Coturnix japonica: one gene and its partners. The protein of the gene in region 4 binds, or shares a complex with, the protein of the main gene of each other region. Links are inferred from orthologs where the notes say so. Each region holds a gene or a part of one and is shown on either strand. Other genes may lie near its edges. The genes, in order: SNRPG, CRIPT, RBM48, RNF113A, RBM22, BCAS2 and SNRPF.

The links.
Region 1: RNF113A (region 4) and SNRPG share a complex: the UniProt entries of both Homo sapiens proteins name them as parts of the minor spliceosome. The link is inferred for Coturnix japonica from reciprocal best matches to the Homo sapiens genes RNF113A and SNRPG.
Region 2: RNF113A (region 4) and CRIPT share a complex: the UniProt entries of both Homo sapiens proteins name them as parts of the minor spliceosome. The link is inferred for Coturnix japonica from reciprocal best matches to the Homo sapiens genes RNF113A and CRIPT.
Region 3: RNF113A (region 4) and RBM48 share a complex: the UniProt entries of both Homo sapiens proteins name them as parts of the minor spliceosome. The link is inferred for Coturnix japonica from reciprocal best matches to the Homo sapiens genes RNF113A and RBM48.
Region 5: RNF113A (region 4) and RBM22 share a complex: the UniProt entries of both Homo sapiens proteins name them as parts of the pre-catalytic and catalytic spliceosome complex. The link is inferred for Coturnix japonica from reciprocal best matches to the Homo sapiens genes RNF113A and RBM22.
Region 6: RNF113A (region 4) and BCAS2 share a complex: the UniProt entries of both Homo sapiens proteins name them as parts of the pre-catalytic and catalytic spliceosome complex. The link is inferred for Coturnix japonica from reciprocal best matches to the Homo sapiens genes RNF113A and BCAS2.
Region 7: RNF113A (region 4) and SNRPF share a complex: the UniProt entries of both Homo sapiens proteins name them as parts of the minor spliceosome. The link is inferred for Coturnix japonica from reciprocal best matches to the Homo sapiens genes RNF113A and SNRPF.

Annotation. Positions count from the first base shown.
Region 1 is NC_029537.1:791,647-794,573, forward strand, and holds SNRPG (small nuclear ribonucleoprotein G), read left to right. Parts: upstream 1-1,176; 5' UTR 1,177-1,263; coding exon 1,264-1,295; intron 1,296-1,492; coding exon 1,493-1,515; intron 1,516-1,644; coding exon 1,645-1,769; intron 1,770-2,254; coding exon 2,255-2,305; 3' UTR 2,306-2,427; downstream 2,428-2,927. Other genes in the region: protein FAM136A, read left to right, coding at 85-273. UniProt on the Homo sapiens protein: Plays a role in pre-mRNA splicing as a core component of the spliceosomal U1, U2, U4 and U5 small nuclear ribonucleoproteins (snRNPs), the building blocks of the spliceosome.
Region 2 is NC_029518.1:23,890,184-23,894,194, forward strand, and holds the start of CRIPT (cysteine-rich PDZ-binding protein), read left to right. Parts: upstream 1-1,211; 5' UTR 1,212-1,244; coding exon 1,245-1,314; intron 1,315-1,408; coding exon 1,409-1,474; intron 1,475-2,139; coding exon 2,140-2,194; intron 2,195-2,931; coding exon 2,932-3,035; intron 3,036-4,011. Other genes in the region: PIGF (phosphatidylinositol-glycan biosynthesis class F protein), read right to left, coding at 785-1,012. UniProt on the Homo sapiens protein: As a component of the minor spliceosome, involved in the splicing of U12-type introns in pre-mRNAs. Involved in the cytoskeletal anchoring of DLG4 in excitatory synapses.
Region 3 is NC_029517.1:20,669,018-20,673,030, forward strand, and holds the start of RBM48 (RNA-binding protein 48), read left to right. Parts: upstream 1-1,213; 5' UTR 1,214-1,415; coding exon 1,416-1,541; coding exon of another isoform or gene 1,542-1,631; exon of another isoform or gene 1,632-1,653; intron 1,654-1,711; exon of another isoform or gene 1,712-1,740; coding exon of another isoform or gene 1,741-1,854; intron 1,855-2,497; coding exon 2,498-2,688; intron 2,689-2,814; coding exon 2,815-2,960; intron 2,961-3,629; coding exon 3,630-4,013. Other genes in the region: PEX1 (peroxisome biogenesis factor 1), read right to left, coding at 1-448, 538-652, 893-976, 1,070-1,213, 1,503-1,631. UniProt on the Homo sapiens protein: As a component of the minor spliceosome, involved in the splicing of U12-type introns in pre-mRNAs.
Region 4 is NC_029542.1:2,233,439-2,236,938, reverse strand, and holds part of RNF113A (E3 ubiquitin-protein ligase RNF113A), read right to left. Parts: intron 2,825-3,500; coding exon 2,731-2,824; intron 2,322-2,730; coding exon 2,215-2,321; intron 1,779-2,214; coding exon 1,693-1,778; 3' UTR 1,519-1,692; intron 12-1,518; exon of another isoform or gene 1-11. UniProt on the Homo sapiens protein: Required for pre-mRNA splicing as component of the spliceosome. As a component of the minor spliceosome, involved in the splicing of U12-type introns in pre-mRNAs. E3 ubiquitin-protein ligase that catalyzes the transfer of ubiquitin onto target proteins.
Region 5 is NC_029528.1:4,991,932-4,996,036, reverse strand, and holds the start of RBM22 (pre-mRNA-splicing factor RBM22), read left to right. Parts: upstream 1-1,305; 5' UTR 1,306-1,376; coding exon 1,377-1,430; intron 1,431-1,981; coding exon 1,982-2,035; intron 2,036-2,991; coding exon 2,992-3,021; intron 3,022-3,985; coding exon 3,986-4,105. UniProt on the Homo sapiens protein: Required for pre-mRNA splicing as component of the activated spliceosome. Involved in the first step of pre-mRNA splicing.
Region 6 is NC_029541.1:3,877,562-3,881,117, reverse strand, and holds BCAS2 (pre-mRNA-splicing factor SPF27), read left to right. Parts: upstream 1-1,143; 5' UTR 1,144-1,187; coding exon 1,188-1,280; intron 1,281-1,355; coding exon 1,356-1,448; intron 1,449-1,653; coding exon 1,654-1,724; intron 1,725-1,785; coding exon 1,786-1,947; intron 1,948-2,227; coding exon 2,228-2,278; intron 2,279-2,445; coding exon 2,446-2,526; intron 2,527-2,841; coding exon 2,842-2,968; 3' UTR 2,969-3,056; downstream 3,057-3,556. Other genes in the region: DENND2C (DENN domain-containing protein 2C), read left to right, coding at 35-274, 511-597, 939-970; E3 ubiquitin-protein ligase TRIM33, read left to right, coding at 3,342-3,556. UniProt on the Homo sapiens protein: Required for pre-mRNA splicing as component of the activated spliceosome. Component of the PRP19-CDC5L complex that forms an integral part of the spliceosome and is required for activating pre-mRNA splicing.
Region 7 is NC_029516.1:41,570,004-41,573,029, forward strand, and holds SNRPF (small nuclear ribonucleoprotein F), read left to right. Parts: upstream 1-1,393; 5' UTR 1,394-1,547; coding exon 1,548-1,550; intron 1,551-1,634; coding exon 1,635-1,760; intron 1,761-1,861; coding exon 1,862-1,926; intron 1,927-2,400; coding exon 2,401-2,467; 3' UTR 2,468-2,526; downstream 2,527-3,026. UniProt on the Homo sapiens protein: Plays a role in pre-mRNA splicing as a core component of the spliceosomal U1, U2, U4 and U5 small nuclear ribonucleoproteins (snRNPs), the building blocks of the spliceosome.

The DNA of each region.
Region 1 (2,927 bases), on a different chromosome or scaffold from region 4:
TCACCATGGGGGAGCCCCAGAGGTCCCTTCCAACCCCTGTGGTTCTATCACTCTCCTGATCTATGCCCCTTTATCCCCTTGCAGGACCGCCTGAGCCGCTGCACGCTGCACTGCTCTGACAGAGCCAAGGATGCCCTGGAGGCGGGCGGTGGGGAGACAAGGGCACGCTCCCAGCTCGACGCCTGCGTTGCTGCCTGTGGGGACGAGCACCTACGCCTGGTGCCAGGCATGGCCAAGAGGATGCGGGATGGCTTGGCGGCCCTACAGCACTAGCGGGTGCTGTTGGGGTGGGGGAAGGTGGTATTAAAGGCAAGGAGCTGCACTCGTGGTGCTCGAGGGGTGCTGGGGGTTTGGGGTGTGGGGGTGCAAGGTGTGGGGTGGTGGCTGTGTAATGTATGGGGTGGGTGTGTGCAAAGTATGGGGTGATGGCTGTGCAGTGTATAGGGGGTGGGATGAGCCATGCAAATGTGCAGTGTATAGATAGGGTACAGGTGTGCAAAGTGTGGGGTGATGGCTGCGTAAGGTGTGTGCAGGTGTGCAAGGTGTGGGGTAGTGCTTCTGCAGGGTGTGGGGCACTGTGTGCAAAGGGTGCTGGTGTGTAAAGGGTGCAGTGTGCAAAGGGTGCAGTGTGCAAAGGGTGCAGTGTGCAAATGTTGCAGGGTGTGCAAAGGGTGCAGGTGTGCAAAGGGTGCAGGTGTGCAAAGGTGCAGTGTGCAAAGGGTGCAGGTGTGCAAAGGGTGCAGGTGTGCAAATGGTGCAGGGTGTGCAAAGGGTGCAGGGTGTGCAAAGGGTGCAGGGTGTGCAAAGGTGCAGTGTGCAAAGGTGCAGTGTGCAAAGGGTGCAGTGTGCAAATGGTGCAGGGTGTGCAAATGGTGCAGGGTGTGCAAAGGGTGCAGGGTGTGCAAAGGGTGCAGTGTGCAAAGGGTGCACACTGCCAGCTGTGAGCCGATGGCTGTGCAAGGTGTGCACGGTGAGCCGTGCAGGGCTTGCAATACGTGTATCAGTGCCTTTGTGTGTGTGCAATGCCGTGCATACAGTGGGTGTGCAATGCGCGGTGCATGCAATGCAGCAGAGCTGCAGGTCTCCATGCACGTGCTGCATGGGGGCCGCTCCAAACGCGCACGCGCGCCGCGTCCGAGCGCTCTGATTGGCTGCCGGCGAGATGCGAAGGTTGGCGGGAAAAGGGGGCGGGGCTTTGGGCGTAGCGTGCGACGTGATGACGTCATTACGCGGCGCGAGCGGCAGCGGCGCTGAGGAGACGCCATGAGCAAAGCGCACCCACCCGAGCTGAAGAAGTGAGAGCTGGGCCAACATGGGGATGAGGGGGGATGAGGGGGGATAAGGGAGGACTGAAGGGGATGAGGGGGGCCCAGAGGGTCGGGAGGGGCCGTGGGGTCCGGTTCGGGTTCGGTCTGGGTCCGGTTGGGCCCGCAATGATGGCGGTCCCGACCCCACACTGATGCGGCCTGCTCTGTTTGCGCTCTCGTTGCAGGTTCATGGACAAGAAGCTGTCGTGTGAGTCCCGCTGTTATAACGGGGTTGTGCCATGAGCCCACATTCACAAAGCCCCCCCCCCCCCCCCATCCCTCCCTTCCCTTTTAACCCCCCCCTCCCCTTGTTTCTGAATGAGCCGGTTTCTCGTAGTGAAGTTAAATGGCGGCCGCCACGTGCAGGGGATCCTACGGGGCTTCGACCCCTTCATGAACCTGGTGATCGATGAGTGCGTGGAGATGGCGCCTGGAGGGCAGCAGAACAACATCGGGATGGTGGTGAGTGCTGGGGGGGATGGCAGCCCCCAGGCCCACTTTGTGCCTTGGGCTGGGGGCTTTGGGCTTTGGGCTTTGGGCTGGGGGCTTCCTTTCAGTTCAGGCCTCCCAGTGCCCATCCGTGGCCTTGGGCACCTCTAGGAATGGGGAACAGCCTCAGGAGGGCAGAGCAGGATGGGACAGAGCCCTCCGTGTCTGCTGCAGTAACAGAGGGGTGGCAGCCCAGCTGGCTGTGAGGTCACAAGAATACATTGCTGTCTTATATCAAGCTCTCATCCACCTTTTCTATCAACCACCCTCCTGCAGGAGCCTTTTCCAGCCGGCTGACTGCTGCCATGAGCCCCTGCAGTTCTCTCATTCACTTCAGCTCTTGGAGCTGCACATGCCATGCAGCTTTCTAGGAGGAAAAGTCAAAGGGAAAGAAAACCTTCTGTGCTGTGGGCATAACGTGCTTCATCTCACCTCCTGCTGACAACTTCTCTTTGTAGGTAATACGAGGAAACAGCATCATTATGCTGGAAGCTTTGGAACGAGTATAGTGGCAGAGGAACCCTGTAGTGACCCGACCCCGTTGTGTTTTGTTTACTCACCTGAACCTAATGAAGCAACCACAAGTGTAAGCTTATTTTTTGTTAAATAAATTTTGTACTGGTTGGTGTAACCCGTGTGAGCTGTGCTTGGTGGAACTGAAGCCTGGGGCAGTTAATCTTGTGAGTGCAGCAGTGTGTCAGTGGCAGCTTTAAAGCTGGAGGATGGCTTTCAGGCAGCTTTATTTCTTTGAGTGGGTGTTCAAATGATACTGGCTATATCTTTAAACCCCCCCCCATAAATAACAGGCTGTGGCACTTCTATTCCTAGCATTGCTCTGTAAAGAGTGAAGGGGACTGAAATATCTGTCCTGCTCAAGTGTTTGCCTGCAACTTTGTGCTGGTCTCCACCTCTGTGCTGAGGCAAAAGTGGTTTTGGTTATTCTCATTGCCCCCAAGCAGACAGAACAAAGCATTGACCCCAGGGTACCAGCAAGCTTCTAAGAGTTGAATCGTGTTCCAGCACGTACGGACTCCTGTGATGCTGCTAATCTCAGTGCAAGTCCTGCAATTTAGCTTTAATCAAGTGCATTCATCTTTTCTAGCACAGCAAGAGTGAGGCTACACTAGTGGA
Region 2 (4,011 bases), on a different chromosome or scaffold from region 4:
TTGCACGACTAAGCTGACTTCAAATTGTATTCTACCACTCCTGACCCAGCTATGTTTTACTCCTCTAACCTGTTAAATTAGGATCCACACCCTCAATGGTCCTATTACAAACTGTAACTACAAAGAAATCTCCCAGATTTAATTTCTGCAGATTTAGTCATTCAATGAAATGCAATTGTTCTGACACTTTTCAACTTCACTTTTTATAGTTTACCAACTTTCAGTGAGTCACAATGGCTTCAGTTGGTGGGGGCCTCAAAGCCCACCCATTTCCAACCCCCTGCCATGAGCAGGGCTGGCCACCACCAGCTCAGGCTGCCCAGACCCCCATCCAACCTGGCCTTAACACCTCTGGGGATGGGGCACCACAGCTTCTCTGGGCAGCTGTGCCACTGCCTCATCAAGTTTTAGTAGTAATGAGCTGTTCCCAATTTTACATCTCAGTTCCTACACAAAGAACAAAGCAATACTCTGCAATAACGAAGGTCAGGCCTAGACTGCAAAGTGAATTTCGTGCCCACTCTGGTGTGCCCCAATTCCTACCAGCATGCAGTCAGTGATAGACTTGTGACTACAAATCACAACCCCATGGGCAAGAAGTGTCAGGGATGCTCAGCCCAGAGGGCTGCTGGCAGGTGCAGACAGAGTTAAGCTCTGCAACTCATGGAAAACAAGAATTCACCACCAGAAGTTGTAACTTCTTTCTCATCACATCATTTCAGTGACAGGCTTAGCATCCTCTCCACATCACTCGATAGGAATCTAAGAAAGAAACAAATCTTACCTTGTTAGACAGCGAGCTTCTCTTAGAAGACGGACTTGGCTTTAGGATTAAACACAAGGTTACGTTAAGGACGCTAACACAGACAGAACAAACACACAGCCACGTGAGGTGAGTGCCCAAAACCGAGAACCCATCCAGGAACAAGGCCGGTACGAGTGCGGTCAGGACGATGGAGACGAAGCAGAGCAGGTTGGCAGCCAGCAGCCTCCTCAGCTCTGCCTCCTTCATGGCGCCGTGCCGCCGGCCACCTGCAACACAGCGAGCGGCACTCGGTCAGCGGGACTCAGCCGCACCAGCGGGGCAATGAGGGCGTTCTGGGGGAGAAAAGGGCTTTTTAGTGGTAGATTAACGACCCTCACGCTCGCACAACGTCCTAGGTCAGGCTCGCCCCGCGGGGCGGCCTAACAACGTGCGGGGCCCACCTGGCCCGTACCCGGGACGCCGGCCGCCCGGCAACGGGATGGCGTCAGCTCCGGGGCGGGTCCGGAAGCGGCGGTTGTTGTGCTGGGCGGCCATGGTGTGCGAGAAGTGTGAGTAGGGTGGGATTGGGGGGATCCCGGCACTAAGCGGGGTCTGAGGGCAGCGCAATTCTAATCGTTTATTTCGTGGTGTTTCTTTCCGTAGGTGAGAGGAAGCTGGGCACCGTGATCACTCCTGATACGTGGAAGGATGGGGCGAGAAACACCACAGGTAGTGTCGGTCGCTGGGTGTTCCCTGCGGGTCGTCCGGAGGGTTCGGGGGGCAGCCCCAAAGCCTGCTGGAGTTACCGGGTTGGCCCTTCACTGCTGTAGTTTCCATTGAGTGCAGTGAAGGGTTGTTTACCTCGAGCTTTTTGGCGTTGAATTTGTCCATCTCATTGCAGCCTTCCGTATTTAAAATGGGATCATTACCGGGGGGGGGGGGGGGGGGGAGAATCAACTTTTTACTTGAATAGGTAATGATAGAATGAGAGGTAATGGTTTTAAGCTCAAAGAGGGAAGGTTTAGATGGATGTTAGGGGAAGCTCTTCACACAGAGTGGTGAGGTGCTGGGGAGACTGCCCAGAGAGGCTGTGGAGGTGGTGAAGACCAGGTTGGATGGAGCCCCAGGAAACTTGGTTTAGTACCAGATCTGGAGGTTGGTGGCCCTGCCTGTGGCAGGGTGCTGGAACTTAACCATCCCTGGGGGGTCCCTTCCAACCCAACACTTTCTATGTTTACATTATGATCTTTCCCCTCATGTGGAAGGATGATATGCAGGGCCTGCCCATGCTATGTGCTTCATGCTTCACTTTGCTCTGATCACACATGCCCACATGTGGCAGTTGGAAGCTGGACTGTGAAATGCATTGCCTTGTGGTTGTATTTTTTTTATAGAAAGCGGTGGCCGTAAGCTGAATGAAAACAAGGCGTTGACCTCAAAGAAAGCAAGGTTAGTATTTAATCCTCATTTCAGCTTAAAAAATAATTCAATTTTCTGTAACTGAGACCTTGCATTCTCACAAAGCAGGGTAATTCCTCAAAACTTGTCCAAAATACAACTTAATTTATTCATTTCTTTTAACATGTTAATCCTTGGTGGCAGTGTGTATTTATGTATTTCATTGGGGCTTTCTGTGGAATTACAGAGCATGGGCAGCTGTATTGCTGTGGGCATCCCTAAAATTGGTAGGAATTGCTGTTTGTGTTAAGAGAGGGGCTGAAAAGGCTGTTTGTCTCTGTTTGTTGCAGGAGAGTTGGACTAGATGACATTTAAAGGTCCCTTCCAACTCACATGATTCTGTGATCTTCCATGCTAACATTACCTGTTCAAACGCTTGAGCATCTCCTTAATGTCTAAAGGATATTCTGTTATGCCAGGGGCAAGCCATTGTTGAAATGTATTTTGACTTTGAAATAGGCTTGTATCTTAAGAACAATGTGTGGTTTTAGTTCATCATTTATTAATTTAATTTCTATAACACAAGAAACCTCTCTTAATGGAGAAAATGGGAGGTTTTTTGTAGAAATTCTGTAGTCTATTAGAGTTGACCTCTTTATGTCCCTGTTTTTGATTGCAGTTTTTGCTGGAGTTTTTGTCTATTTCCTCTCGCATAGCATTTTTAGTATGAGATGAAGGAATTACTTTATTTCACTGTGCATAAACAAAGTACTTCTCCATTTTTCCAGGTTTGATCCTTATGGAAAGAACAAATTTGCAATATGTCGAATTTGTAAGAGTTCTGTCCATCAGCCAGGGTCTCACTATTGCCAAGGATGTGCCTATAAAAAAGGTGAGTTTCACTGAGAACTTTATTACCCCGCTTTGATTTGGAATTAGAGACCAAGTAGAAGTCTTTGATTTTGTTCTGTGAGGAAAAGAGAAGGCTGTGATGAGATTCAGTTACTGTCTTCAGCTAATAATAGGAAGGTATAGAAGGTGCACTGAGCCCCCATCACAGTGCACAGTGATGGAGAAGAGTGCAGAATTCTTTAATTCCATGTGAATAAAATAATTTTCACCATGAGGGTGGTCAAACATTGTAATAACAGGGACTCAGAACCCTTATGAAATCTCTACTGGAGAATATAAAATTTTATCAGTCTTGTGAATTTCAGGGGGCAAGCAAAATGGCTCAAACTTGTAATCCATGGGGGGAAAATAGTGCAACATGAACTCGGTTACCTTCTTACTATTGAAGAATTCACTCAGCACGCAGACATGGGCTGGATGAATTGTTAGATGTAGAGTCACAGCTAACTGGTAGTGATTTTTGTTTATGGAATAATGTTAATTGTTCTACAACTTCACACTGTGTCACTGAGTACATGGTTTGGAAGTCTGCTAACGGAGGGCTGCCTCTGGGTCATTAGTCTTCTCTGTTTCAACTCTCAGCTATTCTTGGTGTCCATTATATTTCTCTCTCGCACACTGTAATTAACTTAATTCTGTGAAACTGTATTCTTCTCAGCTTTCTCAGTTGCCGGTTAATCTTTCATTTAGCAATCAGTTTCTTGGCGCCTGTATTTCCTTAACCTTGCTACTTTCTGTCCATCTCAGGCTACAGGAATTCTAAAGTTTAGTTATATGCTATTTTTACCCGTTTGCCAGTTGGGATCCTTTTCCTGGCTGGCCTCCAGTAGTTCAGCAAATTCGAGGCTTCAGGTGCTGCTGTGAATCATAATGCTCTTAAAATAGAGTTTATTTTTTAAGTGGAAGTGTTACATGTATATTGCAATTATTAATTTGTGTTAAAAATCATATTACTA
Region 3 (4,013 bases), on a different chromosome or scaffold from region 4:
TGAACAGCTGATGCGTTCTGTACGCTGGGAGGCTGGGACTGGCATACTCTAAAAATGGAATCCATGTGAATTAAGTTCAGCAGCTTGTCTTTGAAGGCGCTCATTTCATCCTTATCACACAGAGTCTTTTGTTTCTGTTCAGCTGTACGAGAGAAAATGCTCCCTATGAAATTCCACATATTTGGGAGAACACTTGAGCCAAACGTCACATTTGCATCAGCCTTACTCTGTTCAGGGACTCCTGGGTTTAAGTGAGGTTGACTGGCAAAAGGCTCCTTTACAGTTACGTCTTGCTCCATGCTATTCTTCACAAAGCTCTTGAGTAAGATGTCACCTTCTGTAGAAGGCATGTCTACGACGTTTTCCTCAAGCTCACGCGCTTTGGGGCAGATCAGAAGCTCCGTGCAAGGTTCTAATCTCCCATAGGGGGCTGCTGGCATAAGTGTACCTGAGTATGGATAAATCAGATGAATGAATGCATCCACTCTTGCAAAACAGCTTACTCAAGGCACCAGCAAAGCATTCACTGCTGCTTACCAATTCTGATGTAAACGTGAGTGTGGTGTTCAACCCAAACAGGAAAGATGGCTTTGGGGAATACGATTCGGATCTGGTCCAGAAGATGCTTTTCAAGAGAGGAAGCGTGCAGTTCCTGGGAAAGTGTGGTATCATTGTAAGCTACACACTTGTACAACCTTTAAAATGTGTTTGAACATAGAAGATTCACATCTTTTTCTAATACACCATTTGAAACATAAAATACAATGAAAACCCACAAGACTTAGCATTTGCTTAGGAGCAGAAAAGAACGGGGGATTGCGACAAAAGCTTGTATCAACATTCTCTGTCATTTGCATGAAAATGATGTGAACAGTGGGACAGGTTTTCTTACCAGTATTTCCCAATCATCTGCTGAGAGCGGTTCCACTTCTACTTGCTGACAGGAGGAGACGTGTGAACAGGGCTCCACGAACACCTGATAGAAGCAACATTATTTCTGAATAATTTAACTCCTTAAACACATAAAACCTCTACTCAGAAACTCAAAAAAGGGACCTGCATTTCAAACCTGTTCTCCATCTGCAATGCCAAGCTTCTCTGCTAAATGCCTGTTCATCTCTGCGATATTTTCACCCCGCTGACCTCGATGCCTCATTTCCATCCAGCTCAGGTAGATGGGCTCATCACGGCAGGATACTTTGACAGCTTGGCCCTGTGATTATCAGGCAGATGAAACGAATTACTATCAAATCATACTCAGAAATACTCAGACCCATCTGGGTCCAGGGGCGAGGGGTCCCGGCCCGTTCGGAGGATGCACAGTCACCACAGCGACAGTGCGGGGGGCGGCTGGTTGCCCTGCGCTGTCGCTGTGGTGACTGTGCGTCCTCTCGAGGAGGGCTCTGAGCACCGCCATGATGACGGGATACGATGGGGGGAGGAAGGAGAACCTCTCTCCCACAATCCCCTCCGAACGGGCCGCCCCCATCTCGTCCCCGTACCTGCTGCAGGCGGAGGTGCGAGGCCAGCACGGCGGGCAGGTGAAGGAAGCAGTCCCGGGTCCCGCTCAGCACCACCGTCACCGCGGCGACTCCAGCGGCCCCTCCGCCGGGGTTACCGCTGCCCCACATGCCGCCAGCCGGGTGGGCCGGGCTGTAGTTGCTCGTTCCGCCCGGCTTCTCGGCAGCGCCCACTTCCTTCCCGGAAGAGCCGACCGGAGCCGCGGTGGCGGCCGGGAAGATGGCGGCGGGCGGTGCTGGCGGGCCGGGGGAGGCGTGTAGGCACCACCAGCAGCTGGGAGCATGCGGGTCCAGGGCCAAGTACCGCGAGGGGCGGCGACCCAGGGCCGTCAAGGTGCGGGGTGAGGGCGGGTGGGCTGCTGGAGACTTGTTTAGTCCGCAGGTGTCGGTGCTCTGACATCTGGAGAAGCATCAGCTCCAGCTGATGTTCTGTGATGTGTTCATCCCTGCTTGAGTTCATCCCTGCCCGCGGTGGCTCCACACAGCGGGCAGCACGAACGCTTTGAGTTGTTGTTTTCGCAGTGAGGTAAACGTGGGCATTTTAGAGCATTGAACAGCATCTCCCCTATGAGGAGAGACTTAGGGAAGTGGGTCTGTTTAGCCTTGAGAAAAGAAGGCTGAGAGGGGACTTGATCCAGGTTTATAAATACCTGAGGTGGGGAAGCCATAGTGGTGAGGCTGGTCTCTTTTCAGTAGTGCGTGGGGACAGGACTAGGGGTAATGGGATGAAACTACAGCATAGGAAGTTCTGCATTAATGTGTGGAAGAACTTCTTTACAGTGAGGGTGACGGAGCACTGGAACAGGCTGCCCAGGGAGGTGGTGGAGTCTCCTTCTCTGGAGATATTGAAGACCCGCCTGGACGCCTACCTGTGTGACATGGTGTAGGGAGCCTGCTTTGGCAGGGGGTTGGACTGATGATCTCTAGAGGTCCCTTCCAACCCCTACAATTCTGTGATTGTCCTGTGCTTCTTTCAGGTGTACACCATCAACTTGGAATCGCGTTATTTACTAATCCAGGGAGTTCCTGCGCTGGGCGTCATGAAGGAGTTAGTGGAGCAGTTTGCCTTGTACGGAGCCATAGAAGAGTACCATGCACTTGATGAATATCCCGCAGAGCAGTTCACTGAAGTTTATCTGATAAAATTCCAGAATCTGCAATGTGCCAGGTATTATACACAGCACTATCTGCCTTTTGTTGTTTTAATCCTTCACGGCCCCTTTATGTATGATCTACATCATACAGAGTTGAAGTAAAACCCTCAGCTCTGCTAATGCCATTTAGTTTCCTTCAGGGTGGCCAAGAAGAAGATGGATGAGCGCAGTTTCTTTGGGAGTTTGCTGCACGTGTGCTACGCTCCAGAATTTGAAACAGTCCAAGAAACCAGGGAGAAGCTGCAGGACAGAAGGAAGTATATTGCAAAAGCAACAAATCAAAGAGGTTTGTAGTTAAATCTCATGTCCAGTTTTAATTCCAGTGGTTGGTACGTCTTGGTAAAGCCAAAAGCATCCATTGATGAAAATATACTGTGTTTAGCTGTTTTACATTAGGACATTTCTCAGTTATTCCTAGAGATGGACCTTTCAGAAAGCAACGTTTTAGTTAACATGCACTTTAAAGCTTTTAAACCTCATTGTTTCCTTCATTTCTTTTCAAAACGTTACCTGAAATTTTAAGTACTGCCAGGAAACTGAGGATCAGTTTGTTCCCCTTGTTACAGTTCTTTCAGGCATACCCAAAAAGAGAGATTAGTAAGAGAGCCCCCTCCCTGCCCCTTATTTCCTGCCTGTCATTTGGGTCAGTAAGGAACACGAGGAATGGATTGGGCTGACAGGCAGCTTTGCTGCTGAGTTCCCAGGCAGCGCTGAAGGCTGGACAAGCTGTAAAATAAGTACAATGCCAGGCACAGGCTTCTCCTTTCCTATGCTTATGTACTTGGATATCATTATCCACTGCAGGTGCTGCTTAAGCAGAATCACAGGAAGGTGACTGGGAATGAAGTATTGCTGGTATTATTTCTGTCACTGTATTGAACACTTTATGTATTAGAACTAACAGTGGCATAAAATAATGAAGCTGTTTTCCTTTTCTTTTCTTGTTGTTTTAAAGACTGCTTTCTGTTGAAGAAAACAGAGAGGCCTCGGAGGACCAAGTCTGATTCTCAGTGGAGTACCCCAGGATCACATGCAGCCACTCACTGGGATCCATCCTGCTTTCCAGTTCCTCATGGGTTGTCCCAAAACATGGAATATCCTTCTGGCAATCACAGTCAGGACCTTTTGGCTTTTCCCCACTGCGACAACCCCAGTGCTGAAACCTCTGGGAACTCCAGTCAAAGCTCATCCCTAACTCAGAAGGCGCATCCAGGAGGATGTGCTGCACCAGTGCCTTTAATTCAGCAAAGAACAGTTCCAGCTGATAACGGCATTGACAGGTTTATGCCTCGTACAACTCACCTGCAGGAACGTAAGAGGAAGAGAGAAGAGGGTAACA
Region 4 (3,500 bases):
CTCGTCTCACAGGTGAAGGCTGCACGACCCTATTTTTTTATATGTATTTTTTAAAGGGTGCCTTAGAGTTAAGAAGGGGAGGAAAGCAGTTCTTAGTTTTGGGCATTTTCTTAGAGCTAGTCGGATTTGTGTTGTTACTGGGTAACTTCTGAGGGTGCAGAAAGGAGTGCATTCTTAAGCTTGGTCACTTCTTTATGGTGGAAAATGAGAACCAGAAGGTAACCTGAGGCTGTCGCGGGCACATTCACTGCACTGGGCTTTCCTCTGCACTTCTGAGCTCTGCTCCAGCTCTGGAGAGAGCTTTTAAGACTCCTCTCAGTTGAGGCTGTGTGCTCTGAGCTCCAGGTCAGATGCCATCCCCATCTCCTCCCATGGCTGCCTGGGTCATCAAATCCTAATGTGTAATTCTGTGCAACATACCAGCTTTTCTAACCTCCCACAGCACATCCAGCTCAGCCTCCTGTTAGCTGGGCTGCTTTTACAGCATGGAATATCCATACCAGCCCGTGCTCAGTGACTTGGCATGGAGGGAAAGTAATTTTCACACCAAATCCTCTTACTCACAAAACACCTCTTTGAATGTTACGCTCACTGATCTAAGCCCTCTGTTGCCATTGCTGTACCATCATCCCCAAATGAATGAGATATAAAAATCCTTTGCTTGCTTTTCACACAGCTTCCCTTGATCCCTGGCTGTGACAGCTCACAGCATTTGGTTTTGGAGGCGTGTTTAAGGCTTTTTAGTTTGACCTTTCCAAGGACCACAGGTGCTGGAGCTCTTTCCACTCTCAAATGAAGCACTGGGATTCCAGCCCTGTAAGCGTGCTTGATGGGAGGAGCGGTGCTGACAGCAGGTCCTTCTGTTTGTAAACGACTTGAAGCCAGATGAAATTTGTTACTCTAGTTTTTGGGTTTTTTTTTTTTTTTTTTCCAAAATAAAATATTTCTGAAGTTTGTAAGTCTGCTGTTTCTGCAGGGTGATGGAAGCTTATGCTCTTCTCAGCTCCATACTTAGGAGGTTGCATCTTGCAGTTCAACCCATTGTGAAGTTTCCTTCTTGCCCAAATTCTTATCCCCATCCCACAGGCCTGGACAGAGCTGGTTGCAGCAAGGGAAAAATCATTGAGAGAAGTACCACTGATGGCATAAAACCTTGCATTAGGGACATGGTACAGCTGCTGGCTTCCTCCCCAAGGGATGATTCCACAGTGGTATCACTCTCTGAAGTCCTGAATCCTGTTTGATGTTACTTTAAGCTCTTGACTTCTAGAGATCAAAAGGCAGCAGAAAAGATGGGAGGGAATACGCTCCTCTGAGCTGCAATAAATCACAACTAACTGCAGCAGTCTGGCTTACCTCCCAAACAGCATTTCCAAAGTGACAGATAAACTTGGTACAAGCCAATAGTTTTCATTCTTCTCTCTGCTTTTAGCATTTGATTTGACTGAACAAAATTCAGACCCTCCCTCCCCAGGCCCTCGTGGTCCTACTAATGGCACAGAAGACAACTCAGCTTACCCATTCTGTCCTGTGTCTTCTCTGACAACTGGCACCACTCGTGCCCCCATTTTAACAAGGCCTGGTTGGATGAACCACCAATGGCTGCAGCTGCTGGCCCAAAGGCAAGTGCTGTGATCTGTGCATTCTTCCCATGAAAACTTTATTGGGCTCCATACAAAACAGAGTGCTTTGCTAGTGTGGGTCTTCACCATGTTCTGAGTGGTCTGACTCCTCCTCTTCCTCCTCCCCTTTGTGTTTTTCCAATTTTGCCATGAGCTCTGAAAAGCAGGAAGATGCAGGATGAGATTCCAGGTGCAACATGGAATGGCCAGTAGCAAAGCTGGATGCCCAGGACCTGCCAACACAGCTCTGTCCTGGAACCAAAGCACCTACCAAAAATCACTCATCTGCACAAAAGCTAAGCCAGGAACTACCACCAAACACTGAGCCCTTCAGTGGGGCTTCAGATGCTAAAGTTCCAGGCTCTGTCAGTGGATTACTGACCAGAAGAGCTACTGTCTGCACTCCCAGCACCCTCACCAGAAATCAGTCTCCCCCTCTGGGCAAACACAAACACTCTTTTTTTACCCCTGTGGTGGCACCCAGGCCCTGATGTGGTGTTTCCAAGCACTGAGAGAAGTTCTGCCTGTGAGCTCCACCTTGCAGCCGAATGCTGTGATCATACAGCAGCTCTATCCCACAGGTGGCCGTTACCTTTGGCTGGGTTGAAGACTCCATTGGTCTGCTTATCACACACGTAACAGCGCTGGGATTTGCGATAGTGTTGGAGGGCACAGCTCTCACAGAAGTAATGCCTGCACCTGTATGGAGAAACAGACGGTACTGCCAGTCACCAGATACAACTGCTGCATCCAGGAGTTAGAGATCATCAACTACTGAGCCCTGAGGGATGCAAAAATAAGCTGGATGTACAGAGCCCTATGCAGCATCAGCTCTCCCAGAGACAGCACAGGTGCAAGGTGATGTGATCAGGCAGCATCTATAGAAATATAAAAGGTTCTTGGACAACAAAGGCTTGAGACCCCACCAAGTTGATGCTTGAGATGTAGTTATGAAACTCCCTGCATAGCAGAGGCTTTCCCCACCCACCAGAAAAGCAAACAAGCGTGCTCCTTCCACCAGCATGTGGACAATGCCAGTGTTTGCTACCAAAGAGAATGACTGACTGACTGAAGGACTCAGCCCACTACAGATGTTTTGGCTCCTTACTTGGTGACCACGGGGTTCTTGAAGGAACTTCTGCAGATGAAGCATTTGAAAGGCATATCCTCCTCATCGCTGCTCACCTCATAGTTCTCTTCATCTGCACGAGGGAAAATTAACCAGACTGGAACAAGAGCAGAGGCAGCCAGGCCAGCAGATGCACAGGGCATGAAATATGGAACATGGAGAAAGTACAGCAGGTGGGATGGACTCTGCTGGAAACAACAGCATCTGGGTGTCACTGATGTCAGTAACGTGTGTGGGATTGAGATATAATTAGGTCTAATGAGCCAGTGTGCTCGTTGCTCATCTCACAGGAGCACATTTTGTGCGACACCCACTTGCTGCTATAAACAGACTCATCCTCCAGTTCCTTATTTTTCACATTTTTTTCCAAAACAGCTGCTATTGAACTCTTCAACTCAGAGAACATCCCCTGCAGCTGCCCAGCAGTTCATAAGCTACACTTGGCTGCATCCCTGGGCCACAGATATGGATTCTGAGTGAGAAACAGGGATGTGACAAAGCATGAAAGCATTCCATCTGTGCTGCAGGAGATGGCTCTATCTATCTCCCCATCTCCACGCTGCTTGCTGCTGGGATTCATACAACAACAGACTGCTATATTTTGTATAGACAGACAGAGCAAATTATCCCCCCTGGTAGCAGTCAGTGGTAATCTGAAAGCAGCAGATTTGCACAGCACTGGCAGTTGTTATTGGAGCTAAGGTAACTCCACAGCAGAGAGTTCCATAGCTTTGTGGAATGAGGAATTC
Region 5 (4,105 bases), on a different chromosome or scaffold from region 4:
GTGATATACTGCAGTGTTCACGGATCTGAGTGGCCGCCAACCGCACTGTAGGCTCGTTGTGTTGCAAGGTGGATGTGGTAGTGTGAATTGTTAGAAGCTGGGAAGTCCCATTGTGCTACGTTTCTTTACTGAGGTGAGAGTGGTCCTGAGAGGCTGCCTGTCAGTCTTTGTGTTAATAAATGTGTGTTAATAGGGATATAGCAATCAGTACTAAGCTCAGAGCATTGAGATTAGTTCTAGCATACTAAAAAACTACAGGGGCTGTCCAAGTTCATACTGTCTTTTCCAGCTGTGGGGTTGGGGGTATAAAGGAAGAAAGGCTGTTATACTGTAACTAGCATACACTGTACTGCTGTTTATATATATATATATATATATATGGGGTGTAATTCGGCCATAGTCCAAACTGCAACTTTAATTAAGAGTGTATGCAGGATACTGAATGCCAGTTCACTGCAAGTGGGTGAGACTGCTTGTCCTTGGGAGGCTTTAGTTTCATTCCCAGTTCAATGTTTACTTTCATTACCCGTTTCTGATGGGCTTTGATGTGCTGGCTTAGGGTGAAGTTAGTGAGTCAGCCAAGGCCGGCTTTGAGCTTCAAATCCTTATGTGGGATGGGAGGGATAAGGCCACATTGCAAACCGAGCAGCCTTAGTGCCCCTCAAAGGGAAGCACCCACCTCACAGCCCTGCTCCTGCAGCACCTCCCAGAGCAGCAAGTCAGCACGTTTACAACGCCTGGGTTGCACACAGGTGCACAGCATGAGCTGAAGAAGTGTACTTTGTATTTATTTATGTATAACGCTAGTGTCTGCTGCTGTTTTACCTTCCGGATAACAAAACACTTAAGCCTTGGCCATGAGTTCTCTCCTTAGCCAAACTAGTAACACTACTACCTATGGAAGCAGCTATTGGGACGCTGATGGAGCCCTGTGGCTGCAGCTCCCGGTTGGGCCGGGTTTGTCCCCTTTAGGTGCTTGTAGGCGATAGGAATTGCCGTCAGCTCTGTCTGTCCGTCTGTCCGTCCTTTCTCCCGGGGCTCAGGAGTTCTCGGTGTTAATGACAGGCGGCTGTTTGCCTTATTGCTTATAACTTCATGTAGTAACCTTCAATAAAGCGACCTTGGCTCTCAGGCTCTGCGCTGTTATTTACACCGCCGTTAGTGGGGAAATAGTGATAATTAGAACATAAAGAGCTGAGCACCCCCCAATGCTTTTGTCCCTATTGCCATTCATTCCGCCACTCCGGCTCAACTCTATGGTTAGCAGAGCCTAGAGCGCCCCCGCCGCTCTTCCTGCACGGAAGTGCCATCCCGCAGCGGAAGTGACATCACTTCCGGGTCCCGCCGCCTGCCGGGATCGAGGCGGAGGGGCCGCCATGTCGACATCGCTGGGCTCCAACACTTACAACAGGCAGAACTGGGAGGATGCGGTGAGTGGGACGGGATCCGGCCGGCAGTGCAGTGCCGTGATCTGTATGGGGGCTGTGCTCTGGATGGGGGCTGGGAGCTGCATGGGGGCTGGGCCGGCGCCATGGGGCACTCAGGGCTGGGGGTGGCCTGTGTGTGTGTGTGTGAGGTGTGTGAGGTGGGTGTTAGAACGGGCCTGGCTGCTGTGCTGCCATCATTATAATAAGGATAAGGGAACAAGGGAACAAGGACGTGGGCTGCAGCTGCTCACACGGCCTCTATGAGCAGATTCTGTTGGCTCCTTGCTCAGTCAGGCTGGGTTTGCTCGGCAGGGTGGATGCCCCGTCCTTGGAGGTGTTCAAGGCCAGATTGGACGGGGCCCTGGGCAACCTGATCTATAAAGGTGTATGTTTGTTGGCCCTGCCAGGCAGGGGGGTTGGAACTACATGATCCTTGAGGTCCCTTCCAACCCGGGTCATTCTGTGATTCAGGGTGAGCACTGAGGGCTGATTCCATTGTTATCGTGATGGTTTGGTCGCTCTGTGCACATTTTCCTTCTTTTTCCTCCTCTCAGGACTTCCCCATTCTGTGCCAGACGTGTCTCGGAGAAAACCCATACATTCGCATGGTATGTGCTATGTGCTGCTTGGACAGTGCGGCCCTGTACTCTGTGTTGGGTGCTGATTAACACTGAACTCTTTGCTTCTGAGTGCTCAAGCAAGGGGGGATGCTGAGGACATGTGCATTCCTGGCCATTTGGCCGTGCACTGCAGGGTTCACTTCATGCCTTTGTTAGTGCATCATGTCATGGTGGTCGGTGCAGGTTTATAACAATAACTCAGTCAAAAAGCTGAGCAGGATGTCACGCTGTAATGTCTGCAGTGCAGGAAATACCAGTAAAGCTTTGATACCAGTAAGTCGTGTGACGTGGGAAGCAACGAGCTGCTGGGATATTAAATAGATGAGCACCATTTCTAACGTGCATAACATGAAAATGAACCTGAACTGTCATACAAAGGCTGCTGGCAGCAATTTCAGTGCTGTTTTGTTGACTTTGGTTTCATCTGCCCCAGATGAGTCAGGCCATTCCATGTTCCTTTTCTCAGTGCTCAGCCCAATTATGCCATACCTGCAGATTATCTTTGCCTCACATTTCCTTTCCCCAAGTTTGCTGAGAGCTGTTATGTTTTTATGAAGCATGACACGATTGTCAGCATAGATATGTAAAAAATGGCTTGTTTTGGTGCATTTGTTTTATGCAGTTGCATCATCTTCGCTTAAAAATAGCTACTAATGACCTGTTTCATGATCATTTCTCTATGGTACGTGAAGTTGGGCTCATAATACTTTGTTTTAATGGGTGCTTCTAAAACAGAAAACAGGTTGAGAGTTTCTTAGATCTTTGTGGTCCTCTTTGCCAGGCAAGGGGAGATTCTGCTTAAGCACCAAAAGTAGAGGTGAGCCAGTCTACATGTACTATAATAAGAACAGGATCACTGTGCTGTAAGTTCAATGGTACGTTTCATCATTCACAATGTTTTAATATCTCATGTTTTCTCTCCCTTCTTATTTATTATATTTCAGACCAAAGAGAAATATGGAAAAGAATGCAAGGTACGTTGGTTGTCTTTTGAAGAACGAGCTTCTGTATTGGTGAACATCTGGCTGTAATGTGGGTTTTGGTTCTCAAAAGATCTGCTGGCGTCACGAAAGAGTTTATCTTGGCTGAGAGCTTAATGCACACATAACTGCATGGAATGTGAGGTGTATCATCTCCATGTTCATTGTTCTTGAGCTGTAAAAGGTTGTTCTAACGGAGTTAAGATTTGCTCACGTTTATGAGAATTATTAGGTTTTGCTCGAGTATCTTATATTTCCTGTTGCAAGTTTGTTTTTACTGCTATGTGATGTGTAAGTAACAACAGTTTTGGTTTTGCTCTGAATCTGCTGTTTTTTGCCAGCTATCAATTAGTGTTAGTTATTGTATGAAATAAGACAGGTTTGTAACTGAGAGAGCAGGAATTATTTAGCTTTTACTTGACTTGATTTGTCCCTCTGCCCCCTTTATCAGTTGTCACCTGAGGCACAGACAAGGTATGTGCTGAGATCTTGCTTCTGCTCCTCAAATGTGCAGCAGAAGCAGATGCATCTTTCCAACACATAACAAATGGGGCAGTACTTTTTTATCAATAAGCTCTCATTGGGCTTGCTGCTGTTTCAGTGACTGCTCAATTTACACGTAATTGGTAATTTGTCTCTAATAGCTCCACGCTGGAGCTATTATATTCCATCTGGAATAAAAAATGAATCCTTTGAGTAGATCTGCTTTCAGCATTCAGGTTACTTTAATAACTCCAGACCTTCCCAAAGCTTCCTCCTGTCACAGTATGGCAGCAAATAGCAATCAGTATTATCCGGAGCTCTTGAACTTTTTTGCCTAGAACTTTAAGATGATGCAGTTGGACTTAGATTTCAGGGAGGCTGGGCGTGTTTGAGTTGTACGCTTCTATGCAGGAACTCGAGCGGCATCTTGGCTGTGCTGTGATAGCAGTTCACTTGTCTACTTTGTGTCTTTCAGATTTGTGCCAGGCCTTTCACAGTGTTTCGCTGGTGTCCTGGTGTTCGTATGCGTTTCAAGAAAACAGAAGTGTGCCAAACCTGCAGCAAGTTGAAGAATGTCTGTCAAACCTGTCTGCTT
Region 6 (3,556 bases), on a different chromosome or scaffold from region 4:
ATGACTCATATTAGAGGGATGTTTCTCCTCACAGGTGATGTCCCTCTTAACTCCCTGGTCTCTGAAGCTTTCGTGCACTTCTTTGTGGAGATCGTGGGTCACTATTCCCTGCACATGAATGTCACAGAGAAAGGAGAGCGGGTGTTCCAGCGGGAGCCATTCCGTAAATCCCACACGTCGCGCAACGTGCGCCATTTCCTGCACTTCTTCATGGAGACGCAGATGTTTGCAGGGTTCATACAGGATCGAGAGCTACGTAAGAGTGCTGTCAAAGGTGAGGCTTTCTTGTTTTACAAAATTCCACATCTCTCATATCTTTAACTCTTACAAAGCCTTTTTGCCCCAGCAGTATTTCCTATTGGCGTATGTTAATAGCTCCATGCCCTTCTAATTATTCAGTAATCTTATTAAGCAGAAGATGCCTTTGTCTCCTGCCTGGCTTCGGTCCTGTGGCCTTACACACACAATGTTAACGCCTGAGGATCTCATCCATCTCTTCTATCTCTTTAGGCCTTTTTGAGGTCCGTGCCTTGGAGTATTTGGAGAGCATCCCCGAGTCTGAGCCCACAGGGATGAACAGAATCCTTCGCACTCTCGGTAAAGAGACACCTCATTTATTTAGCTTATTTCCCTGCAGTATTTCGCTTTGTGCACACATGCTGCTTTCCTTTGCCTCTCCAAGGAGGCTGTGGGAGCCCCATCCCTGCAGGCATTCAAGGCCAGGCTGGATGTGGCTCTGGGCAGCCTGGGCTGCTGGTAGGTGACCCTGCATATAGCAGGGAGTTAGAACTAGATGCATTGTGGCCCTTTTTAACCTTTTTAACCTTTTTAACCCAGGCTGTTCTGTGGTTTTATGTGTGAAACTGTCATTCAGCGTCCAAATGATGCGTCTCGAAGGCTTAACGTGCTTTTTTTCTTGTTGTTTTTCTTTTCTGTAGGAAGTAAGATGAGATTTCTCCAGAAGAAATGAACGTGGAGCCTCAATGAGGCGGTTGGACAACCAACCCCATCCCGGGGCCGGACTCATTGCTCCCTGTGCAGCTGAGGCGGCTCCGTGCCGCCATAACACGCCGCAGTGCCGCAACCAATCAGCGTGTCCTCTCCTCTGTGGGCGGGGCGGGATGAGGGCGGGGCCGCGCCGTGAGTCTAGGCCTGGGGTGTGCGCATGCGCGGTAGTGGTAACCATCATGGCGGGGCCCGGGCTGGTGGCGGGGGACGTGGTGGTGGATGCGCTGCCGTACTTCGATCAGGGATACGAGGCGCCGGGCGTGCGGGAGGCGGTGAGTGCGGGCCGGGTCGGGCCGAGCCGGGTTGGGCTGGGCTGAGCTGAGCTGAGGCGGTGCGATCCCGGCTAGGCTGCGGCTCTGGTGGAGGAGGAGACGCGGCGCTACCGGCCCACGAAGAACTACCTGAGCTACCTGCCGGCACACGACTGCAGCGCCTTCGAGGTGAGCCAACACGGCCAGCCGCCCCTCAGTGCCCCTCATTGCCCCTCATTGACCCTCATTGACCCTCAGTGCCCCTCAGTGCCCCTCAGTGCCCCTCATTGCCCCTCAGTGCCCCTCATTGCCCCTCAGTGCCCCTCACGGCCCCTCACGGCCCCTCACAACCCCTCATTGACACTCACGGCCCCTTATTGCCCTCTCCCTGCAGACCGAGATCATGCGGAACGAGTTTGAGCGCCTGGCGGCCCGGCAGCCCCTGGAGCTGCTCAGCATGAAGAGGTGAGTGAGGGGGGGCTCCTGGTCTGGCTCTGGGTGGGATCCGAACCGTGCTCCGTTCCAGGTATGAACTACCGGCTCCATCCTCCGGGCAGAAGAACGACATCACGGCGTGGCAGGAGTGTGTTAACAACTCCATGGCGCAGCTGGAGCACCAGGCAGTGCGCATTGAGAACCTGGAGCTGATGTCCCAGCACGGCTGCAACGCCTGGAAGGTGTACAATGAGTAAGGCTGGGGATGGAGAGACAGCATGGGAAATGGTGGTGTGGTGGCTGCAGATAATGCTGTCCTGATCCTCCTCACCTGAAGCCACTGTTGAAATGGCTAAGAAACACATGGAAGTGTGGCTTTGAGAAGCTCTGGGGCTGTTTCAGACAGCTGCTTGCCTTTAGTGGATGGCTGCATGCTGGGCTCTTCTAGGAGGGTTATATGTGAGGCTGGTTAAATTGATCTTATTTAGTAACTGTGTGTTTTTTCTCTTGCTTTGCTTCCATTCTGCTCTCAGACACCTGGTTCATATGATAGAACAAGCCCAGAAGGAGCTTCAGAGGTTGCGGTGAGTGGTTTTTCATAGCTCTATACAGAGGTTGGAAGGGATATAGAAACTCCTACTTTGGGGTAGGAGCTTCCAGGGCAGCCAATTTCAAACTGCATTCATGAGTAAATGAGATGAAGGAGGACAAGACCAACACAGGTCTCTTCATGTTGTTTTTTTCCCCTCAGGAAAAGCATTCAGGATCTGAACTGGCAACGAAAGAACATGCAGCTGACAGCAGGAGCGAAGCTACGAGAGATGGAATCCACGTGAGTAGCTGGGATTTATTCTAACACCCCCTTACGGGGAACAGTGCTGTCATAGCAAACCATCACACGGCTGCTATTGGTTTGCACAGGGTGCTTTAGAGGGTGCATGGTTCAGCTCCGTGTTGATGGTTTTTAGCCCTTTTTTCCTTACAACGTTTCATTTCCTGCATTATACATTGAGGTTTAATAGTTGGAAGCATCTTGTAACCTTGTTCAGGTTGCTCCTGCTGTCAGCTGAGCTGTGTTGGGGCTGATGTTGGTGTTGTGCTTTGTTATGGCAAACACCTTAATGCTCTATGAATCATTCCCTTGCAGCTGGGTGTCCCTTGTCAGTAAGAACTACGAGATTGAACGGACCATTGTACAGCTGGAGAACGAGATATCCCAGATCAAACAGCAGCACGGGGAGGCCAACAAGGAGAACATCCAGCAGGACTTCTGAACGCTGCTCCCTCCTGAACTCCGTGTTTGTACGTTTCCTACGGCGCTGTAATAAACTGCTTTGCCCAATAAAGGCTGCTTATCTCCCCTCCTGGCTGATAAGGGCTGTTCAGCGCCGGGCTTATCAGCAGCTTATCAGCAGCGCTGCGACTTGTGGCTGCGGCCTCCACCCGCGTGGGGGCGCTCGCGGCCGGTCGGTAATTGCGTTTGAGAGGTGTGGGCGGCGCTCTATCCGGCGGTGCGTCACGTGACGTCACGTCTCGTCTGTCCACGCCTGCGCGCGCCCCCGCCCCGCCCTCCCGCCGTGGAGCGCGCACGTCGCGTGGTGACGCAGTGCGTGAGCGGAGCGGGGAGTTGGGTTCAAAGGAGGAAACATGGCGGAAAACAAAGGAGGCGGCGGCGGCGGGGAGGGGGCGGCCGAGCCCGGGCCGGGCGGAGCCGGCTCCATTGAGCCCGCGGCCGCGTCCCCTTCGGCTGCGGCGCCGCCAGCGCCATCCGCGGCGCCTCCGGAGGAGCGGGAGAGCCCCGGAGCGGCACCGGCGGCGGAGCGTGGGCTCGGGGAGGCCGAGGCCGAGGCGGGGCCCGGGGT
Region 7 (3,026 bases), on a different chromosome or scaffold from region 4:
TGTGAGAAACTTTCTTCTAATATCTGACCCAAACCTCCCCATCTCAATTTAAAACCATTCCCCCTTGTCCTACAACCATCCACCCTCATAAACAGTTGTTTCCCTTCCTATTTCTACCCTCCCTTCAAATACTGGAAGGCGACAATGAGTTCTCCCCGGAGCCTTTTCTTCTCCAAGCTAAACAAGCCCAATTCCCCCAACCTTTCTTCATAGGAGAGGTGCTCCACCCCTATGATCATCTTAGTGACCCTCTTATGGACCCATTCCAAGAGTTCCACAGCTTTCTTGTGATGACGGCTCCAGGTCTGGGCACAGTACTGCAGATGGGGCATCACAAGAGCTGAGCAGAGGGGGACGATCACCTCCCTCTCCCTGATGGCCACCCCTTTTTAATGCAGCCCAGCACACCATTGGCCTTCCAGGCTGCAAGCACACACTGCTGGTTCACATCCAGCTTCTCATCCACCAGGACCCCCAAGTCCTTCTCCAAGTCATGCATCAGAGGAACTGACTATATGAAGAAAAGAATGTAGCTGGTCCTGTACTTCTTGGTACACAGCTTTCCCAACACAAGTAGGAGACATGATAAAAGTTGGTTCCAAACCTAAAAAGTGCTGTTTACAGACAAAACACTCATATTGTTCTATTGTCATTCACATATACACCATTAACAACTGTCAGAAAAGTGCAAGTCTTCCATGGCCTTTAACCCAAAGGACTCATGCTGAGCTCATTGCATTCTGACGCCTTGTATGTTTTCACTCCAAGTTCTCTATTCTTTGCTGCAAGGGGCATGAAAACCGTCCATATACACGATTTCCCACATTGTTTATTATTTCCTACATATCCTCAGCACTAACTTCCTTGCAATAAACTTATAAGCAATTCTCTTTCAACTGGCGCCCAGTGAGTTTTACTGTCAGAAAGAAAAAAAAAAGCTTTATTTTAACGTTATCTCTGTTCCCCAGCCAACACATGAGGACAAACACATCCATTATAAATTATCACAGAAACAAATACGAGTGCACTTCAGATAAACATTTATTAAGAAGAATCGTAATTGCTGCTCTTATCCTATCCATCCATAAAGGTAGGGATGTGAGGGGGGACATTCTGGATCTGCAGAAGACACGGTGTGAGGCAGCCGGGGGCTGAGGGAGAGGTGGACAGGGAAGGGGAGGAGAGGGATGGAGGGGCAAAGGCCTAACAGAGCAGAGCGGCGGCACAGTGCTGCGCTGCCACCCCCCGGCCACCACAGACGACACAACCAGAGGTGGTATACGACCATTGGCTGGAGCAATGAGGAGGGCGGCCATTCCAACTAATAAGATTGAGCCCACAACCCCTTTTCCCTTCGCGCTCCGTGGCTCCGTAGCCAATCGCGAAGGCGGCGCGGCGGGGTGAGAGGTTGGAGGTCGGCGCGGCGGCACGGAAGTGGAAGTGGAAGGTATCTCAGCGCTGCCTTCCATTCTGCCTCAGCCCGCGGCGCGCACGAGGCGATCCCGCCTGGCTCTGCGCTTCTCGGGCCGCCATCGCGCCCCATCGCCATGGTGAGGGCAGGGCAGGGCAGGGTGGGGGGAGGCTGTCGTTAGCGGTTGGGATGGCGGGCGGTGCTGACCATTGCTCTCCCCTAGAGCCTGCCGCTCAACCCGAAGCCCTTCCTCAACGGGCTGACGGGGAAACCGGTGATGGTGAAGCTGAAGTGGGGGATGGAGTACAAGGGATACCTCGTCTCCGTCGACGGCTACATGAACATGCAGGTGAGGGATGGAGGGAGGGACCCGGGCCTTGCTTGCTTGTGGGAGGGAAGCAGTAGTGAGGCTCCTGTTGGTGTAATGTTTGTGCTGATTTTCGTTCCAAGCTTGCAAACACAGAAGAGTACATCGATGGAGCACTGTCTGGACACCTGGGAGAAGTTTTGATAAGGTAATCGTGGTGCCTGAGCTGGGGAACGGGGTCTTGTGGGGACTTCTGTGTCTTGTGTTACTGCTTTGTTGAAGCTGGTGGATCTAGGGGATGTGCTTGTGTTTTAAGTTGAAAGAGGGAAGATTTAGGTTGGATGTTAGGGGAAAGTTCTTTACTAGAAGAGTGGTTAGGTCCTGGAACAGGCTGCCCAGTGAGGTTGTGGATGCCCCGTCCTTGGAGGTGTTCAAGACCAGGTTGGACGGGGCCCTGGGCAACCTGATCTAGTAAATGTGTATGTTTGGTGGCCCTGCCAGACAGGGGGGTTGGAACTACATGATCCTTGAGGTCCCTTCCAACCTGGGTAATTCTGTGATTCTGTGTGATTCTGTGTATTGGAGCACTAAATGCTGCTGTAACTCCCATGTGAAGTGAACATTGTATTTGCGAGGGAAATTAAGACATTTCAACTAAGGGAGCTCTTGATTCTATTTACAGGTGCAATAATGTTTTGTACATCAGAGGTGTGGAAGAAGAGGAAGAAGATGGAGAAATGAGAGAATGATGATTTGTATATCTGGAAATAAAGGGTTTTTTTTCTTTTTTTTTTTTTCTTTTCCACAACGTTGTCATCAGGTGTTTATTTTGTTCTTGTATTTGACTATGGGGGGAGTTCACCCAGAGGCTATAAAGAGTCATGAATTTCAGTGGCATTCATAGAGCTAAAACAGCCTGTGGAATGGGAATGCCTGATCTCAATCTGCAGTATTATGGAAAGAACACACAAAACACTAACAACAGGCCACTCTTTGTTATCAGGCATCCAGATAACTGAAGTTTTGGCAGGAACATAATTGCTTTCTCAAATGTTAAGAGCAACCATTGACATTAACCGAAGCTGTTCTGTACCTATCAGCATTTCCTAAAGGTAACCATTGCTTTGCTGATGCTGCTAGTCAGAGCCTCCCCTTGTGAAGGATCTACTTGCATCTCTAGGCTGGAGAGAGGTTCTACAAGCCAAAACACAAATGGCTGTACCTCATGGATTTGTGTGTGACTTTGCGCTGTCTCATCAGTGACCATTTGTCTTACATCTATTCTCAAATACACAGGTATACTTTCAG